Arabidopsis thaliana: one gene and its partners. The protein of the gene in region 2 interacts with the protein of the main gene of each other region in a pairwise test. Each region holds a gene or a part of one and is shown on either strand. Other genes may lie near its edges. The genes, in order: GCR1, PTR2, AT3G21690 and AT5G17850.

Evidence for each region.
Region 1: the proteins of PTR2 (region 2) and GCR1 interact in a protein complementation assay, tested with the Arabidopsis thaliana proteins (one large-scale study listed by BioGRID).
Region 3: the proteins of PTR2 (region 2) and AT3G21690 interact in a protein complementation assay, tested with the Arabidopsis thaliana proteins (one large-scale study listed by BioGRID).
Region 4: the proteins of PTR2 (region 2) and AT5G17850 interact in a protein complementation assay, tested with the Arabidopsis thaliana proteins (one large-scale study listed by BioGRID).

Annotation. Positions count from the first base shown.
Region 1 is NC_003070.9:17,827,439-17,832,019, forward strand, and holds GCR1 (G-protein-coupled receptor 1), read right to left. Parts: upstream 2,983-4,581; 5' UTR 2,777-2,982; coding exon 2,594-2,776; intron 2,400-2,593; coding exon 2,368-2,399; intron 2,284-2,367; coding exon 2,114-2,283; intron 1,985-2,113; coding exon 1,890-1,984; intron 1,742-1,889; coding exon 1,640-1,741; intron 1,538-1,639; coding exon 1,481-1,537; intron 1,395-1,480; coding exon 1,251-1,394; intron 1,160-1,250; coding exon 1,089-1,159; intron 1,003-1,088; coding exon 876-1,002; 3' UTR 801-875; exon of another isoform or gene 717-800; 3' UTR 515-716; downstream 1-514. UniProt on the Arabidopsis thaliana protein: Together with GPA1, may regulate the cell cycle via a signaling cascade that uses phosphatidylinositol-specific phospholipase C (PI-PLC) as an effector and inositol 1,4,5-trisphosphate(IP(3)) as a second messenger.
Region 2 is NC_003071.7:485,733-490,488, reverse strand, and holds PTR2 (peptide transporter 2), read right to left. Parts: upstream 3,092-4,756; 5' UTR 2,948-3,091; coding exon 2,891-2,947; intron 2,636-2,890; coding exon 2,318-2,635; intron 2,240-2,317; coding exon 1,683-2,239; intron 1,608-1,682; coding exon 782-1,607; 3' UTR 548-781; downstream 1-547. Other genes in the region: AT2G02050 (NADH-ubiquinone oxidoreductase B18 subunit), read right to left, coding at 154-465. UniProt on the Arabidopsis thaliana protein: Peptide transporter. Mediates the transport of di- and tripeptides. High affinity, low capacity transporter. Can also transport histidine.
Region 3 is NC_003074.8:7,636,777-7,642,901, reverse strand, and holds AT3G21690 (MATE efflux family protein), read right to left. Parts: upstream 4,319-6,125; 5' UTR 4,153-4,318; coding exon 3,832-4,152; intron 3,708-3,831; coding exon 3,076-3,707; intron 2,109-3,075; coding exon 2,052-2,108; intron 1,830-2,051; coding exon 1,591-1,829; intron 1,497-1,590; coding exon 1,378-1,496; intron 1,285-1,377; coding exon 1,198-1,284; intron 1,107-1,197; coding exon 1,041-1,106; 3' UTR 513-1,040; downstream 1-512.
Region 4 is NC_003076.8:5,896,980-5,901,679, reverse strand, and holds AT5G17850 (Sodium/calcium exchanger family protein), read right to left. Parts: upstream 2,829-4,700; 5' UTR 2,662-2,828; intron 2,635-2,661; exon of another isoform or gene 2,442-2,634; 5' UTR 2,428-2,441; coding exon 748-2,427; 3' UTR 523-747; downstream 1-522. Other genes in the region: AT5G17847 (uncharacterized protein), read right to left, coding at 2,893-3,021; AT5G17840 (DnaJ/Hsp40 cysteine-rich domain superfamily protein), read left to right, coding at 4,625-4,700. UniProt on the Arabidopsis thaliana protein: Membrane-localized H(+)-dependent K(+) and Na(+) transporter.

The DNA of each region.
Region 1 (4,581 bases), on a different chromosome or scaffold from region 2:
ATGTGTAGCAGATGAAGCCACTAAGTTTTTGTAAGATCTTGCCTCCCCTATCTCGGATGGTCAACAACAAAGGAGGAAGATGGACTAGTAGCGGATGGAGCTAATGATAGGATTTTAGAGGGACGGTAGTCCTCGAAATGTGATACACAAATGTAAATTCGTTGAGATGGGACCTTAATGAAACGACTGGTAAAGTATGGACTATGGAGAGCGTATGATAGATGACCAGAGCTTTGAGACGCACTTGAATCCATTAGGGTTTTAACAGGGAATCTCGTAAGAATCTCTGTCACCACATCCGTTGGAATCTCCAGTAGTGCTTGGCTTCGTCTTCTTTTCTTCTTTCTCCACTGTTGGATCACTGTTAGACGAAAAGACAAACCCATCTCAATCCCCACCCGAGTTTGAAGACAGAGTCGTTCAGTCTTGGGGAGAAAGAAATCGCGGTGATCTCTAGGGTTTTGAAGATTGATACGAATTTTGTAATTCCTCTTTAGAAACGGCGCCGGTTTAAGTGATAGTATTTTCATATGACTTACGTAACAAAACTCTTCAACATTGTCGTCCAAGAACTCCAAGTTCGTTAATTTCAAATCAAGATCAGAAGACCTCACAATAAAAAAGTTCATACAAAAATAAATAAATTGTTAAGTTCGTGTTCCCAAAGAATGTTTCATATACATTGACAACCTGTTGTGCACCCCCCTTCACCATATCTAAGAGAGAAACACAAAACAAAACACACTTACTGATCCATGTAAACGGAAATTAAAGACAAAACAATCATAGAGGAAACTTACCAATCTCTCCATCCAAACGCTATTATCATCGCCGCCTTCTTGTTATCGGTCCAATGTATTAGTTGAAAGTTAGTGTCATTGCTGGTCCTCGGTCTTGAGTGATACCATTTCGCTTCGCTGTTGTTGTTGCTGATGTAGAATCAGATGGTTTTTTGGTCTGAAATTGCTTGGAAGCCATCGATATAGCCGTTCTGGCAAGAATCTAGCAGACCAAGGGTTTCATAAAAATCAAGCTTCATTGATTATTGGGAATAATATAGCAAACCAAAGAGATCGGTGGTGACTTACAGCTCCAGTCTCTCATGGATTGCTCGACGCACTGAGCTGTTGAAACCATAGGCTATTGAATTGAACAAGCCCTGAAAATACAACATTCAGAACATCGACTCGGGAAGAGCAAAGATGATCTATGGCGAATTTTATAACTTATTTATTTGATAGGTTTGCTACCATTAGTGCAGCTGTCCCAACGTCAAGAACTGAGAGCCAGAAGATCTTATGCCCTGGCTCGATGAAATCATGGATACGGTTAATAGTGCCGAATGCCCATGATCCTATTAGAATGAGTGGATAGTATCCCCATCTGTTCAACACCTGTGGTTTCAGGAAACAAGCAGTGAGGTTTTAATGATGAAATCCAGCCACATGATACAGAACTAGTATTGGCAATAAAGACAGACCTTTAACTCTGCTCTATTATCAAATTGATCGACTCGGTCTGACATTCCAACTGCCATCTGAAATTAACATTGCCATTTCAGCACACAGCCAAGTGTATCAGTAACGTTTGTGAACTACTTTCAGAAGACAATGTTATTAGAGATGAGAGAGTTACATACACGTCTAGCATTTCTTAGCATCCGTATCACTTGGAAGTAAGTAAACCCATTGTAAAGAATGGCTCCCCAAAGAGGAGCGTAGAAAGTTAAAAAATGAACAGCCTGCAAAATTCAAGAGGTGATATGAGTTCCAGTAACGAAGAATAAAATACTAGTCTACATTCATCTGGCCCAGCGTTGCAACAAAAAAGTTCAAATGCCTTTTGATAGGCATTGAAATCTTTATGCTCAACTAAGCATTCTCACTTGCCTTTCCCTTAAGACCAGTTTGCGTCCAGCACCATGGCCCCAAATGTGAGTGGTTGTTACCAAAAGAACGTATGACAGTCACAACCAAGGAAGTCCCTGAGAAAAGTAACTAAAATCAGAGTCTTACTAAATCACCAAAGAAGATACTAACACATTCTAATCCTTAACCCTAGGTGGATATAGTAACAATTGAGAACCGAAACCCACGAGTATCATTTTACATACCCCATACATACAAATGAAACATTGCTTCCAAATCCTCCACATCAGTTTTATGCTTGACAACAGTACGATGAAGAGTGAAAGCAATTGTAGTTGTCCACAAGAACGAAGCAACGCAGAAGAAATGAGTAGTGTAGCCTTGTGCGTAACAAATGAACCCCTTTGAAGGATCCCTACAGTGATCAAGATGTAACAATCATCTTATCAAAATAATCTCAACAAGATTCACCAGAACCAATAGTAGTAGATAAACATACCCAACGATTAGGAAGAAACTGCAAAGCATATCCTGCAACAATTAAAAACATTGCCATTAGTCAGCAATAGAGCTCGAACCCTCACTACTCATCTCAGAACGCAATGGAACTTAACGTCTTAGCGATGTAACAATTCACAGTGAGAATAATCGAAGAAGAAGGAAGCAAAACAGTACATAATCCTAGATCTAGCACAATCAGCGAAAGGCAACAACGGGAAACTTACAGAGAGAGCAAGGTAGAAGACGAGCTTGAAAGAGAATTTTCGAAGTTCTTTGAAGAGGCAGTAGCAGAGAACGATGAAGGCTGAGCCGACGAATGAGAGACTCGAAGCGCCGGTGTTAATCGCCGTAATAATGCTGCGATCCCCGGCAGTTAAGCCTCCGCCGGCTGTGAGAACCGCCGACATTGTTATATGTGATTCCAAAACTGATCTGAGAGATTGAATTGACGATTTCCGCTGTTCGTGTTCGTCGTTTCCGTCGCGTGGTATCTTCCCCGACGGACGTTGCGTGGTGGGCTAACCTCTTACCCGGGTCGGATCGGTCGGGTCAAGTCGTGTCTTTTGAACCGGACTCCTCGTAGTGCACTTCTTTAGGCCCAGCCCAATGATTTTGTTAAGCATTAATTCATATATGCTATATTAATTATTAAAAACATTTATATGATGTTATTTACATGTCAAGTTATCACATATTTTTGGAAAATTTTAATTTTATACATGTATGAATATTTAAATTATACTAGGTAATAACTTATGTTATGCACATGTAAATATTATACTATTTAATTTTATAATTAATCTTATTTATAGTATACTCTATATAAAAATAAATATATATATATATATATATATATATAATATTATAACAAATTATGTATACTATTGTTTTTAAATAAATTATCTACACGACTATACTATCAATCACCGAGCACAAAAATACCTAGGCATGGCCTTCTGACCCGTTTTGCCCCTTTCAAGTAAATGAATTTTGGACTTGTTATAACATATAAAATATGATTATTTGCTAAATAACTTGATTTGGCTTATTACTTGCTAAATAATTTGATATTGCTTGTTACTTGTAAAATAATTGCAACTTGAATCGAAAAAAAATCTCATATACAATAGAAATTACAAAACATTCAAAGTTTCAAGCATCCTAAGCACAAAACATTCAAATAAAAATAAGTTATATATAAGCAAGTAATATATATAACAAGCTTGTACTTGCAAGTCATAAATTTATACTATTTATTAGCTGATTATTAACGACAATTATTTGTTTTTCAAAACGAATATAAAACACGTACGTAAGAACTAATAATAAGCAAATAACGAGCATTGGCTAGGTTGTCAGAATGTTGAATAGAGGCGGCGAATAAGTCTAAGTGGCATTGCTATCTTGTTGAGTTAGTATAGAAGTCCACGATTGCTTTTACGTTTTTGCGTTAGTTCTCAGAGAAGTTGTAGACTTCTATCTTGAAGTTTTGTGGACGGATCTTGGATAGTTTTGCTCGTGGCAATTAAGATGATGATTCCAGTTCTTCGGTTTTGTGGCAACCACACAATTTTCTGAGCTTCGCGGGTTCGGAATCGGTGTTTCTTTTTGCAATTTGGCTTTGACCACTTAGTAGTGATCCTTTGCATCTTGAGTTGTAATGTTGTTTTTATATTTACGTAGATTGCTTTAATCTGTTTCTAGTTTTCTCTGTAATTCTATCACAAACTAAAAATAGTATAAAATTTCACCTTTTACCAAAAAAAATAACAAGTATTAGTACCCTAATTTACGATAGTTAATGGCTGTAAGGCTAAAACTACCAAGCGGAGAAGACCATAAAAATTATAAAACATAAAAATATAATATAATTAGGTTAATGATGGAGACATTCTTCCACACATTGACACATATTGCTTCTCGTGTCCTCACTCTTTGTATATATAAGTTCATGGATCTCCCTGATTATTATTTATGTATTGCTTTTGGTCGTAAACCCCGTGGCTAGACTTATCACAATTCGTAATATAATTTACGTATACATGTTATAATGACTGTTTATTATATATATTAAATGATTTTCGTGTGCTAATTTACCCAATGACATATCATCTACTAAATGGCAACAAACGTACAAAAACCAAACAGACGAATTTTGTCAATCCACACAAAATTACATAAATTTAATTAGTACAGCAATTACGAATTATCT
Region 2 (4,756 bases):
TGAAACCCTAATTTGGAATTTGAAGAACACGAAGATCTGATCATGTAGCAGAAGAAACAAACCAATTCAATCAAATCAACCAAAACACAAGAAATCGAAAAACTATAGACTAACCGGAATCTGGAATCGGCAAATTGGAGAAGGAATCGAATCCTAAGCATTAGCAGTTTTAGGGATAAGAGGAACAGCAGCGTTTCCTTGTAGTTTATTCTGTTTAGCCAAAGCTTCTTCTTCACGGATCTTCTTCATCGCAAGCATTCTCTCCATAACAAGCTCGTATTCACACTTCTCATAAACGTGACGCTCGTCTTCACATTTCCATGGAAGGTAAAACTCAGCCTGACGACATTTGTTGAGCGGAATCAAGAGATGAGCGCACATATCTCTAGATCCAAGTGCTATTTTAGCTGCAGACATCTCTTCTTGCGTTGCGATCATCTTCTTCGATGAACCTGGAACCTCCATTTTCGCGATCCCCAAACCTCACAACGATACTCTCTTCTTCTTCTTCGATTTTATTGACCCGGAACATTCTTCTTCTCCGGGTCATATTTGTGCCCGTTTGATATGGGCCAAAAGCCCATTTGATTTACTAAGCCTATGGACAATTTCTCTCAATTTAGTATTCGAACCCTGAATTGTTTATAATATTGCAAATGCGACTTAAACTTTTGAAATTGAAAGGAAAAGTACACAGCAATGTTGTTATTGATACAGAGACAGTTACAGTTGAAAGAAACAAACTTTTGTATGTAATGAAAGTAGATAGATAACAGCATTACTACGACGAAGCTTTCTTTTGCTTATACCTAGCAGCAGAGAAGAAGTAAACCGCCATGTTCACAAGGCTAAGACCAGCCAAGAGCCAGAAGAAGTAATCGAGATGACCTGAATTGAGATTATCCGAAATCCAACCTTCTTGCCCATTTCTTGTTGTAAAATAAGTCACGAGCGTGAGGATCAACGAGCTCAAGTAGTTACCAAGTGCATTGGTCAAAAGAGCCAAGGCACTGCACAAGCTTCTCATTGCATCTGGAGATTGGTCGTAGAAGAACTCGAGCTGACCGATGAAGTAGAATACTTCGGCTGCACCGAGAATGAAGTACTGTGGAATCTGCCACAAGACGGATATGGGAACTGGGGCTCCTGACTCGACTAATCCAAGATCGTTGGCCATATGGAGACGGATGATTTCGACGATAGCTGCAGCTGCCATACAGAGAACAGAGACAAACAGACCAATTCCCATTCTTTGTATCTCAGTGAATCCTTTGTCTACTCCTGTGAACTTTCTTGCTAAGGGAACGATGAACCGGTCGTAGAGCGGCACCCAGATGATGACGCTTGCTGTGTCGAATGTCCCGAGTGCTGCAGGAGGAAGCTGGAATGATCCAATTTTGCAGTTCATGGCTCGGCCTTGTTGAACAAACATTGTGGACATTTGTGCGTATACAGCTGAGAAAATGATACCAGAAGCCCAGATTGGGAACATTCGGATCAGAATCTTGAGTTCTTCGACTTGCGTAACCGTGCATAGTCTCCACGAGTTGGAATAATCTCCGGATTTCGATTCTTCTTCTGAGATAACAGCGGCTTTGTCAAGATACCTGCATCATACCAGAATAACTTGTTAAACCAAGTAAAGCTATACATTACTGGAAAGCAATGAAGCGGATATTTACTGGCAATCATCGGTATGCTCGATTTTTCTACTTCCAGCAATAGCAGAGTTCTTGTCTTGAGTTTCATACAGAAGTGTGGCGTCTTCAGGGACTTTGACAGACGATTTCCGGAACGAAGCAACCACGACTTGGGAAATCCGAGTTATAGGGCTTCCTCCAGGTTTCTGAAACCTATAAAGAGGTGTGCCAAAGAAGAAACTTGCAATGGCTAGTCCCATGAACACTGTTGGTATCCCAAACCCTAAACCCCACCCGCGATTCTCTTGAATCCAAACTAGAAGACTAGATGACACAAGTGCTCCAATATTGATGGAGAAGTAAAACCAGTTAAAGAACGAAGCTTTTCTAACTCGTTCCCGAGAGTCCGTGTCATCAAACTGATCGGCACCGAAGGATGAGACACACGGTTTGATACCTCCAGTTCCAAGAGCGATCAGGTAAAGCCCACCAAAGAACATCGCATACTGAGCTGGCGTTGCAGATGGACAAAAGTCACCAATACATTCCGCTGGCTTCAATGCCGGAACTGAAGCTGAAAGAGTTAACGCAGACATCCCCTAAACAAATACAAAAACCTATCAGTAATCAGGAGCAAACAAACCAAACCAAACATTACACAGAGAAGCAATGCTTACGATGAAATAAATCCCGGAGAAACAAGCGATGGTCCAGTAACGTCCCCAGTAAGCATCAGCCAGAACAGCTCCAATGAGAGGAGTGAGATAACAAGTCCCTTGCCATGTGGTAACGTTTGTAGCAGCAGAAACATTTCCTTGGTGAAGCTTAGTGGTGAGGTAAGTGATTAAATTCCCAGCAATACCATAGTAAGCTAGCCTCTCACAACATTCATTACCAAGAATAAAAGGACAAGCTTTCCAGTTTCCTGTTTTCTCCTTCAATGGTGGGTTTCCATTAAAGTCCACTGAACCATCTTCAGCATACAATTTCACTTCCTACTTAAAACAAATTCACAAAACATTTTTGATTAGCTAACTAAACTATAACTGTATCAAAGCTCGAAACTTTGATCTATATCTACTTGCAAAATTCAAACATTGGAATCATCAATTAGATAAAACAGTGATTGCCCAGAAAAGATCTCAATAAACCCAGAAAGAAAATGCATAAGATCAATCTAAAGTCAAGATTTTGGAATTGAGTAAAATCAAAATTCGCTAACCTAAGTGATTAATTGAAATTGAACAAACCTGTAAAATTAAACCTTCTTCGATGAGAGGTCTTGCTTCTTCTTCGATGGAACCCATCGTTTTCGTTTTTTGAGCTGAACCAATTTAGATTCCTTACGTTGAAGCTACCTATCTAACGATACTCTATTATTTATCGGAGACGTGACGGCTTTTTATTTTACTTTTCCCGGCGACTTATTGGAAAATAAAAATCAAAACTTTGATTATAATAAGAGAAGTAATTAACAAAACTCATCTTTTTACGAATTTTTTGTTATTATTATGACGTAAAGATAGAATTGTGGATCAACCTGTTACCTGTCCATGTCTCAAGTTGTTGATATCACTCTAATCAAGAATTTTTTTTTTACATATATGTGTTTCTAAAACAATACATCATCAATACGTTGTTGATATCAGTAAATCGTTTGGGGACTCAGATAACAAACAGTAATTATCAGCCAATCTCTCTATAAACCCTGAAAGAACAAGAATGCTCAATAATATGTAGCTCAAGTCAGCAAAATTAGGAGAAATGGAAATTAAAACTCGATAACCTAGATCATTAATTGTACGTTGAAACTATATAAACTCTCCTATTATTTTTTGGTAAATGTGACAAATTTTTTATATTCCTTTTCCCGGCGAAATTTGTTTTTATTGGACTATAGACATCGGCTTTGTTTACATATTTTTCTAAGGTCTGTGCTTAAACTTCAAATGGGAATTATATATATATATATATATTTTCTTTGTGATTCACATAGAAATTAATTTGTGTTTTTATCACAAAATCATTTCATAACTATATGTGGCCAACTTTGATTGATTCCACAACTTGATTCATAGGGTGCATAGAGAATGTGGTACGACCATCTATAGATTCATCATCCATCATCTCTTGTAAGAACAAAATCATTTGTTTCTATATCAAATAAGGTGTTATAAAAACTAAAAAAAAAAAGATTCTCCACAACTTGAGTCCATAGAGAGTGTGGTACTACGACCATCTATAGATTCATCATCCATCATCCCTTGTAAAAACAAACTCTTTTGTTTTTATATAAGATAAGGTGTTATAAAAACTAAAAAAAAAAAATATTCTCCACAACCCAAGAGAAAATTCGGTAAAACAAACAGCTTTGAGAAAATGAAAAAGAACACAAATGTATGGTGCAAAGAAGAAACTAGTCTCAAGAGAGAAAATATTGATTTTATCTAATACTCTACAAAAACCCAAAACTCTTGAAAACATAACATAATTTTCTCAAATGTATTGTGCAAATAAGAAACTAGTAGAAAATAAATGATAAGATTGATTAGCTATTGACTAAAGAAAACCTTTAATTCTATACACAAATTTTTTCGAGAAAATAATTTACCTTTCGTTTAACGAAAGATTAGAATTTTTTTTTACATTTAGCGATACTTCGCTGGGATAGAAGAAGTGATGCTAGTATCTTATCCCATCTCTTAAGTCCGTAATTTTTTATCCCCTCGAGTAGAAGAACAAGTAGAAGATTATCTTCCTGCGATTTCATTCGTCGTATATTAAAAAGGGTATATAATTTTCTCGAAAAGTATTTGAGAAATATAAAAATAAGGTGTAGATGAATTGAAAGAGAGATGATAGATGGTTTAGGGCAAACAAGTGAAGTAGAGTCTAGATTATATAGGTTTGTGTAAGTATTTGTTTTTTACGTGAGAAATTATTTTAATGTGGGCTTTAATATTATTAGTAAGTAATGTGTGGCTTTATTCTTTTGCTCATTTGGATGATTAAATTAGGCAAAATTTTCAAACTCATTTGACTAAACATAATTGGACAATTTGAATGGAGATGGATTAGTCAAAATAACAAATGACAAATATGCTCTAATTCTTCAA
Region 3 (6,125 bases), on a different chromosome or scaffold from region 2:
ATGGCACAGATACAACGTGACGGCCATTATTGGCTTGGCCAAGTATTTACTATTTATATCCTTTTTCGTTGTATGGTTTATAATGAGAATAATGAAAAGAAAAAGTATCAAGAATTTTTCTTCTTTACTTTTTTTTTTTTCTTTTTTTTGAATAAAATGTAAAATTTATTCGAAAAAACGTGTTTACATCAAGTGTAACGGAAATTTAATCGCTCCTTTCTCTAACTTTATGGAACAAATATAACATCTCGTCTAGTAGTTTATAAGAATATTTAGAAGTTCTTACAATCGTTTTCGTTATTTTTTATTAAACACGAATGAAAATAGTGCTTATATTAAAATGTCATAGATGCGTTAAGTAGGCGATTATTTTACTTTTGTTTACATCAAAATTTTGCCACTAACTAAAGCAAAGTTAGAGCAAGATAATACACATTTATAACTATGTCAGATATCGAATCATCAACTCCAAAATTTCTCCTTTGACAAAAAAAAACTCCAAATTTTCTCTGTGCCTCAAGTCCTCAACGCAAATGAGCTGGACTGATTTTATGATGTGAAAACTTTGTTTTATGTATAGTAATTTCAGTTTACTTAGGCCCATATATTAGGCCCATAGATCACCCTGCCCATTTTGTTGGAAGTCCAGTTCTTATTTTCCTTCACATTCTCAACAACAACAAAAATGCATCATACTGAAAGAGAGAAACTTTAATTGCATTCCAGTCTAACAAAATATCATTAAACTAAAGAAAAACTCAGTAACAAAAATAACTAAGATCTATCCAATCAAAGACATGCATATATATATAAATCAATAAAAAATAACGCAGTAACTATTATAATCTTGGCATACAAAAATACATAACCTACCTCTAACATTTTAAACAAGAACACAAAAAACTTAAAATTGAGTTGTAGAAGTTTAAAAGGTTGATCCATATCCTTTTTTACCAGCTCACATGTTACTTTGAGCATTTGCATCGGTTTACCGATGAATCTAATCGGTTCCTTGGATACCAAACTTTCATCAACCTGCATCATTCAGGAACAACTTCTTGTTTCTTGTTGCTCCATTTGTCCAACCTTTTGGAAGCTTCTTCCACCTGAAACAAATTAAAATAACTATCAAATCAATGAAAATATTTACGTAAACACTTAGCGCCTACAGGGCAGCTTAAAGTTTAGCAAACTTACTTCTTTTGTCCAATCTGTTCTAAACGTGACCCACGCCAAAATAAACGTTTGTATAACCGTACCACCGATCATCCCCGTCCATATACCCTATAGCATCATTAGCCTTAAATTTGTTATTCTAATATTCAATACAAGAATAATGGTAACTAATTAAAATGAAAGTTAAGAAAACTATCTTGCCTTGGCACCGAAGTTAAAGTAAAACCCAAAGAGAGCCCCAAGAGGAATTCCAATAATGTAGTAACATCCAACGTTAACCTTCGCCACAAACGTTTGCCAACCGCATCCAACCGCCACACCTATAATAAAATTTTCCCAATTGTTCAAAAAAAAAAAAAAAATCTTCGCTTATTCGGTTTGCGAAATTGCGGTGTATCGATCAGAAGGGTTTACCAGAGAGGACAGGTTGGATTCCGTTAAGGACAAGTGTTACGGCAAGAAGCGGACAGAGATCAGAAACAGCGTCCGAGACTTCTTTACCCTCAGTGAAAGCATAGCTTAAAACATCGCGGCACGCTAAAATAACAATGGCTAGGATCACACAAGTGATTAACGAATAAATGTTAACGATGATCACAGAAAAAGCTGCTGATTTAGGGTTCCCAGCTCCAAGTTCATTGCTCACTCTTACACTGTATCAACATCATAACACAATTTTTGTCACACTTCATCAGATTTAATAGGAGAAAAAGAGCTTATGGTTCAGTATGATTTAGCATTATTTAAGTGTGTAAAATGTAAGAATCCACATATTTTTATGGGGGTAGGTAAATTGGATAGAGACGTTTTCTATTTTATATGATTTAAATTTAGTGAAAACGATCATGCAAGTGGTGAGTTGGGACAAAACAGACCTTATCGCTGCATTGAATCCAACAGATATCATGAACACCCACCCTGAAATCGTCATGCTGTAACACAAAAACAAATAATTTAATATCGTACACTATCAAAAGCTAGTATGAAACCATTGTTGCTTGTAATGTTTTTACAACATTTTAAAATTGTAACTTTTGACTTGACATGAAAATCAAAGATATCATATTATAAAGATGGGAATTCCATACTGATTTGGGGCAACTACCTAAATTTGGTGGCTGCTTCTGTTTGGTAACAGAGGAAAGAGAACTTTTGGAAAACCTAAAAAATCTAGTACTTACGACTCAGATAAATCTTAAACTAATTAGTACTAGAAGAATATTGTATAATATCTTCGACAAAATAAAGAAGTAGATGCAGATTGGACGAAGAAATAATGTTTTATTCGATTCCATATGAGATAGTTTCATATGGTCATACAGAAATTGTTAAAGTTAAATTCTACTGCTTAAGAAGAAGACAAAAACAAATTCCAAAGAAAACCAAAACGAGAAGACTGAAAAGAAGAAATGTGATGTGACCATAGATTGTCTGTAGCGGAAGAAGTGTCAAATTTGTTCGCCATTAACTTAACTTTCATATCTAGTATCTACAACCAAACTTTGCTTTGTACTCCCTACAAAAAGTTTTGTTCTATGCTTTTCATATCGAATAATAATAATACTAAAAGTTTTGTCGAATCATTACTAGAAAAATTCATGGAAAAGTCTATAATCATACATATTCACGTGGAGTTTCAGGATATATAAAAAAGTGTTTTCTTGTAGAAACCAATAACTACTACCTATGATAAAACATAAATAAAATATCATGTGGAAGACAAATTAGACTAGAATAGGTAAAATGGAAACCAAAGAGGCAAAAACACTAGAATAGATAAACTTAAATTATTATTTTTTATGGTCAATAGGTGAAATTAATTTAGTAAACGAAATTAACTAGTAAAAATAAATTTTAAAGGAAATAATTAAATTGAGTTTGACTAAAAATAGGACTTACCAAATAGAGAGTGAATCAAGAGCAAGTTCAGGATTCTCGAGAAGTCCGGCAAGAAGAACGAGAATCTGAAAATACCAAGTCTCAAGGCAAAGCATCACGGCAGAAGCGGCGGAGAGTTTAAAGAAACTCCACAAACCCGAGAAAGCTTGAACACTAAAACCTCTCCACGTCTCACGACACCTCTCACTCGTCACAATATAAACAAACTGAGCCACGACTATAATCCACCACGACAAGCTAAGCACAAGCGACGCACCAAGAAGTCCCATACCAAGCTTGTAAACCGCGAGCCAACTTAAAAGAAGGTGAACAAAGAGCGTAGCCGTTGAGATATAAGCACTTGGAGCTACTATGCTTTGTGATTGGAGAAATTTTTGTATTGGAAAGTTCGCTGCGTAGGCAAAGATTTGAGGGATAAGACCGTAGACGAAGAGCGATGCGGCCGAAGCGATTGCGGGAGATTCACCGAGGAAGAGAAGGATTGGTTCGGAGAAAACGTAGATTAAAGTAAGGAGGAGGCCGGTGAGTGTTAGTAATACGGTTGATCTTTGGAGATAAACTCCAAGCATCTCGTATTTTCTACCACCGTACGCTTGACCACATAACGTCTCCACTGCACTCCCCATGCCTAGCTATCATCGAAAAAAACTCGAATTTTAAAGATGTGAAAAAAAACATAGCATATAGACGAAAATGATATAAAACGTAACATTCATACAAAAAATATATACAAGAAGAGGAGTTTTTGGTTGTTACCATGAGACCGTAAGCGAAGACTTGAATACCGGTGTTACCAAGAGAAGCGGCGGCGAGTTCGAGGTTACCGAGATGGCCGGAGAAGATTTGAGTAGACATGGACATGAGGTAGTTAATCATGTAGACGATGACGGCTGGTGCAGCGAGGTTAAAGAGAAGCTTTGATTCGATTATGGTGGCTTTACGTAGGCGGAGAAACAGAGGAGTTTCTACGTCGGAGAGGACAGTTTCTAGCTCGCCGTTGGTTGACTCCGGCGGAGATGGAGATGGTTGAGGATGGAGAAGCGGTTGGTGTACGCCGTCGTTTGGAGACGAGTCCATGATGATGATGGAGATTTGCTCTCTCTCTCTCTCTTTTTTTTTTTTTTGGTTTGTTGTTTTGTTTGTGGTGTTATCGCTTGAGGATGTGTGTGGCTAGTGTTGTGTATAAGTGTATATAGGTCCTATCGAGGGTGGCGAGTGACGGCTAATGATAGTTACAAATTTGTATGTTAATCATTGTATTATTTCTACCGAGAGAGTCCACGTCTCTCATTAAAAACACCAAAGGTTATTAATTATTAGAATTCTTTCTTTCGTTTTTAGTCAAAGATTGTATAACATTTCTATGGATATCGTAATTAACTTTACAAGATATCTATATGTAAAATGCAAATAGTTTTCTTTACAATATTTTGAGTTATTTCGATGACATATATTGGTTAATTAGTATTCATAATTTTAAAGAATAAATAACGTACAATCACATTTTAAAAATGTGATTAATTTCAAATTCAATGTTATTTAATTTATATGATGTCAAAAAAGAATTGTTATCTAATTTATATACCACACATTTGCTCATGGATATAGGTTTCAATACTATACACAAATCTGTTTATTTATTATATACTAATTTGCTTAAATTTTTTGAACAGAAAAAGACAAATAATAATGTAAAACTGTTTTGATACTTCAGACAAAATGAAAATATCTTTGAAACATGAAAAATTTGTTCCATGAAAAAGGAAACTGTTTATTCTTATCCTTATAAGGAAAATAATCTTTCAAGAAAGCAAATGATTAATCAAATTGGGGAAAAAAAAATGATATTGAGTGGGATCTTCAAATACAACAAAACACCGTATGCCAAAAACTCATTTTGTACATGGCCAAAACAAAATTATGGTTTACCGGGCCAGTTACACCCACACCCCCTTCTTAAATTGTTGGTCCGCCCACACAAGGTATAGTAGTCGTAAAAGCAAGCGTACTAGTATAAAAATGATATTTATGGATACGATTCCAAATAAAATTGTTCACCAATGGTTATATGGTCTACTGCGAGTACACGTTTCTCTCTTTCATTCATTCTTTCTCAGTCATTAATTCCAACCCAATGATATAGCTACTACGTTTAATATTCATATTAAATGAAAATTAAAGTAACATCAATGATTATAAATGCTTGCCAGTTGCCCCCATGGTTTAATTCCTAAGAATGGGCTATCGTATGCAATAAAAAGAAAGGTAAACAACTAAACACCAATGGTTATATCGGTTGTTTTGAAAAATCTTCACGAGCACGATTTTAGGAAGATAAAAAAATTTGAGTGTTCGAATAATTGCCACTTTCACATTCAATGTTTTTCTGCGTATTAGCATGCAGGCATATACTTCATGGGTCATCATGGCAGCTTAGCTCCTTTTGCCGTTAATAGATATCAACTCTATTGGAGATATGTGTAATCCGATTAGGATTAGTACAATATCTTTGATGATAGAGTTTCTAACCTATATTTTAGGGATTTATGTTTATCTCTTGATAGAGATCATTGTGTATAAATACCATAGTTAATGAATCAATAAAAGCAAGTCAGTTCAATACCTTATTCTACACCCAACTATGACATCTTCTCTAGTCAATAGAATAGTAGAGATCAAAACCAAGCTTGCAAAAGTTTAATTCGCTTAAAAATTAGATATAATCTTTAGAAATCGAATGTATCAGATTCGAGTCATATAGCAAAGACAATAGCAGTGTAAATGATAGACCCAAACTTGGTACTACAGCTTTTAATGAAGTTATTTGGCTCAAATAAACCCAACCAAAAAAGTAGCTACGTTTTATCAGTAATAGCTGCAACTTGTATCTATATTCTGTGCAATATAAATGAGAAAAACGCGAGGTTACTTTTTCCTTTCAAAAGTTTAGCTATTTGCAAAACGTACGAAAAAGCCTTAAACGGAAAAGACAAATTAGAACGAGTTTATAAAGTTTAAAAAGCCATTCAGTCAGGAGAGAAAAACTCAAA
Region 4 (4,700 bases), on a different chromosome or scaffold from region 2:
TTCCAAGGAAACAATTTGCAGACAAGAAAAATGTGCCAAATTATTATGCACACGAGTCATGATGAGATTAGGAATAAAAAACACATCTTATCTTGAGTTCATTGCAAATTGGCAAAAAGAGACAAGCGTTGTCGCTTCAAACAACTCCCACAACACTGGGAACTAAATACACAATTGAAAATAAACAAATATATTGGCAGAAGAAAATACAATTAACGTAGAGATTTTTGAAAACAAAAAAAATATTATCTTAGATAATTTATCTAATATGAGATGGTTTTTTTTTACATTATCCTTATACTGCATGGAGTATAATATGTATGTGTTTACTTGAATGTATGAGCAGAGATTGTTGACTAGTCGAGAATCTGACACCTATCAAAAAACCAGCTACTCAATTTGAACTCCATTACTCTAAAAATTATTCTAAGCTATGCATGTTGTGCGATATCATTGAAACTAGTAATCTTCAGATCAATATTGGTGGTTTCGAACCTTATTTTAAACGACTTTTTGATTTTTCTTGTTTCAACTTGAATTAGAATGATTTCAAATCATACATTTACAATAGATTTGTATATTTCCTCCACGAAACCGAAATTGTATCATATTATGAAAAATCTACGTTACAATCTACATAAAGTTATACATATATATATATCTATACATTACAAAATCGATTCCTTTTACTTGAAGAAGATTATACAAACCCATGTTATGTAAAACGACTATGAGTTGAAATCAAAGTTAGTGAGCATCTCCAACGGTTTGCATAATTCTTAGAGACAATGAAGCCAAGTAAATAACCAAAAGCCCTATGCCCATCACACCACCAAGCCTCATACGGTTACTAAACAGAACCAAGAACGACCATACCAGTCCTGCGACCAGAAATCCAAGACTCTCCAACAAACGAGGATCTGTCTTAATCACAATGCTCAACGGATAAGCCTCCCATGCACATCCCACAAGCGATATCCCGAGAGCAAACAATGTATTGAAGATCGGACCGGCGTAACATCCCGATACAGCCACTTGAGCTCCTTCGTTCCCATCGTGTAGCGCCATTGTCAAGTTGGTTATTAGATCTCCAATTGAATTACCCCAAGCGAGGACCGTTAAGCCTAAGATCGAAGGGCTTACACCGAAAATGTATCCTAGTGAGGTCAAAAGCGCAACTAGCTCTTGTGCTGATATGTAACTCCATGTCATGCTCATTACAAACCCTCCTGCTAACCAAGGCAACAACCATTTCTTTGGTGGGGTTAATTTCTTCGTCGTGGCTCCTGCAATGAAACCAAGAGCTATACCGATCAAACACCCGATGAGATAAACAACCCCCGCCTCAAAACTCGTCGGTTTCCGCTTCCAGTTCCATAAAAACGACAACAGAACCGGGGCAAATGTGACCGAGGCAACAGCTAATGGTTTAGACCATTTGTCTTCACTCACTACAGGAATTGTTAATATCCTTGGCAAGTTGAGAGGCAGAGTGATAGCCCAAATGACCAATCTTTTCCAGTAATAATATCTCTGGTGATCATCATCATCATCAACAATCTGATGCTCTCCATTAACAACACCATCTTCAATTTCCTCAAGACCGTCTCTCTGCAAGATTGGTTCACTAAGACTACCACGCTTATGGATTGACTCAAGATCAGATTCAGCACCTTGATCTCCACCAAATCTCCAAGAGAGAACCACAAAGGCAACATAAACAGCATACAATGAACAAAACCCAAGAGCACCCCAGAAATTGATCTTTCCATAGACCAAAATCAAAGCCAAAGAACCAATAGCAGCACAGAAGAAGCAAATGTCTCTTATAAACGCAGCTCTCTCAATCCTCACACGTCTCTTATGCAACGAAATGCTAATGATCCCAACAACAACACAGGTAACAAAACCAGAACCTCCCACAACAGTGTTGAGACCAACATCATAAGTACCTTTAGATTCTCCCATGAAAGAGACCAAACTTGCAAACAAATCAGGAGCACCATTACCAAGCGACAAAAGAGTAACACCAGCAACAGTTGGTGACAAATTAAGCAGCTTTGAGAGACTTTCAAGAGATGAACAAAAGTACTCAGAGGCCGTATGACCCAATAGATAGAACAAGAGAAGCAACCAGAGGAAGAGAAGAAACTGACCCAAAATTGGGAAACCTTCGAAATTACAGTAGAGAAAAGAGAGGTAATCGAAGAAACCTTGACTAGCACATGGATCAATCGATTTCAGGTAAGCACACTTTGATTTGTAGTCATGAAAGTGCTTCAGGGCACTACAATCATGCTCTGATTTAGGTCTTAGAGCACTTGAATCAACAGGATTCGTGAAGAAACCCAACAGAAGACAAGAGATAACGAGAAGGAATGTGACTGTCAAGTAACCAAAACGGTTTGAAGAAAATGAAAATCCCATCAATCAGCTAAGACCTGGAAACTCAACAAAAAACGAAAAGAAACAAATCAGAACAGAGCAAACGAAGAAACAGATAAAGTTTGGTTTTTTATCAGAGAGTCAAATTGAAAAAGAAGATATTTGGGTTTATTGTTGAGAATCTATAAATGGGTTTACTCCATAAGAACAGATCATGAAGAAAACAGATTAGATAAACACGAACTATACGCGGAAAGAGAAAGATAAAGCACTGACCTTTTTTAATATCTGGAAGATGAAAAAGCAAAAAAGGGATCGAATTTCGAAACGAAGCTTTTAAAGGAGACGAAGCGAAGAAAACACCCACAAACACACAAAACAAACACTTTAACAAGACCTGACGAAGACAAACGTCAGAGACAAAAAAAAACAGAGGATTGAGGAATACTATTTTTTTATATAAAGAATCTGAAAAAAGTTTGTCACTTTGTCATTGCCGTTTTGGGGTTAGGGTGATTTGGGTTTTGGAAATGGCTTATGTGTCGGCTTCACGATGAACTGTGCGTCATTTTCTCTTTCCATTACGTATGCGAAGAATAGGAAGACGAAGGAGGGAGGGTTAGCGAAAGGATACATAAATTTAGAAGCTTTTTCCACAAATTAAATATTACTATAAGGAGCTGACCCAGCAATATTTAGTATTTAGTGCTGATTCCTTAAGCCACTAACTATGGAAAAAATAATATAAATATTCCGGTTTGGTTCGTAATCAGTTACCGGTTTAAGGTTAACTTACATATAAGAAACTAATTTAAAGGATGTGGTCAGTACTGAATTGATGTTTGTTTATTCCAACAAGTAAAACTCTAATCTATAACAGTCATTTTAATCTAATTTTATTAGTTGTGAAATAGTTATTGGTAATTGAGTATAAACCACAACCACCGCCTTTATTCTGTTACTTCCAGTTTACACAAGGCAGAATAACTTGAAATGTAATTAAGAGAAAATTAATTCAATAATTTGGCTTTCTATTAGCTCAAAATTACTTCCTTTATATAAGCTGAAACATCTTAATTCGAACGTATTTTAAGAAATAAGTATACATGGATATTGAATTTCCAAATAGATTGAGACAGCCACGATCATAAAGAGAAAGTTCCCAAAAAGAAAAGACAGAAAGAAACAAGTAGAAGAAGCTAATATAAAAGGAAAGTATAGTGTGACAAGATAAAGTTAATAATGAGGAAACTAATAGTATACTCCACACAGTCACACAAAGATAATTGTATAATGAGGTCGACTGAATAAAGAAAAGAAAAAAAAGTGTGGTCGACTTTTACTACTAAAACGAGAAAGTCGGTCGAAGGATTAGGATTTAGGACACGATTTTTGTAAAAATATTTAGGGAATTTTTCAAATAAAATCGAACAAAATATAAAGATAAGAGGACTTATTACGAGTGTGAATTGCAAATATTAAAAAAGTACCGAGTCATTTAGAGCAACGCGGTCTTCAAACGCGTTTTGTTTTTCTTTACTTTTGTTTACATCTTTGCATTTATTTTGTGATGTTATTCATTGCTTGAGAGCTAAGTGAGTAGAAGCGATCCATTAACACAAGAATCAGCACGTACGTGTACGTCCCCTTCGACGGTGATATTTGTTTTTACCTTTTCTAGTTGATATAAAAATCTTCGTTTACTCATGGAGATCAGATACTATCTAACATCAAACCAACAAATCCTTTAATCTATATATTGTTAGCTATCATTTAAACTTATGCCTTAACATATAAAGTTGTAGACTAGTGTCTGATTGTTTTTTTAAAAACACTCTTTTTAATTGGAGCTGAAATATCTTAAAAGTGAACACTTTTAGCCGACGTCCACCTTTAGACAAGAGGCTGACTCCAAAAAGATGTCCCAAAAATAATTGATGATGGGCATTCATTATGATAAAGTTGGCCCATAATCTTTTTTATGGATCCATTTGTCCAATTCAAATTTATTGATTACTGTCACGTCCCATCCTTTTTGATGTTTATGGGCTCGGTTTAGATACCCGGATATCTTACCGGTATAGTCCGGTTATGGGACCTCAACGAAAACTGAGACATATGAACGGCGATCCCTCCAAAGTTATCACCTACCTTCTCCAATCTCTTTTCGATTTCGAATTTTCCATCTTTCGATTCTCAGTAGTTTCGTCTCAATTTCATAATTCCATTGTAGCCGATAATGAATTCCGCTTTAGATTTTGCTTTTCCGGCTACATTTCCGGTTAAATCGAGTTCTGTTGGCGGACATCGGATTG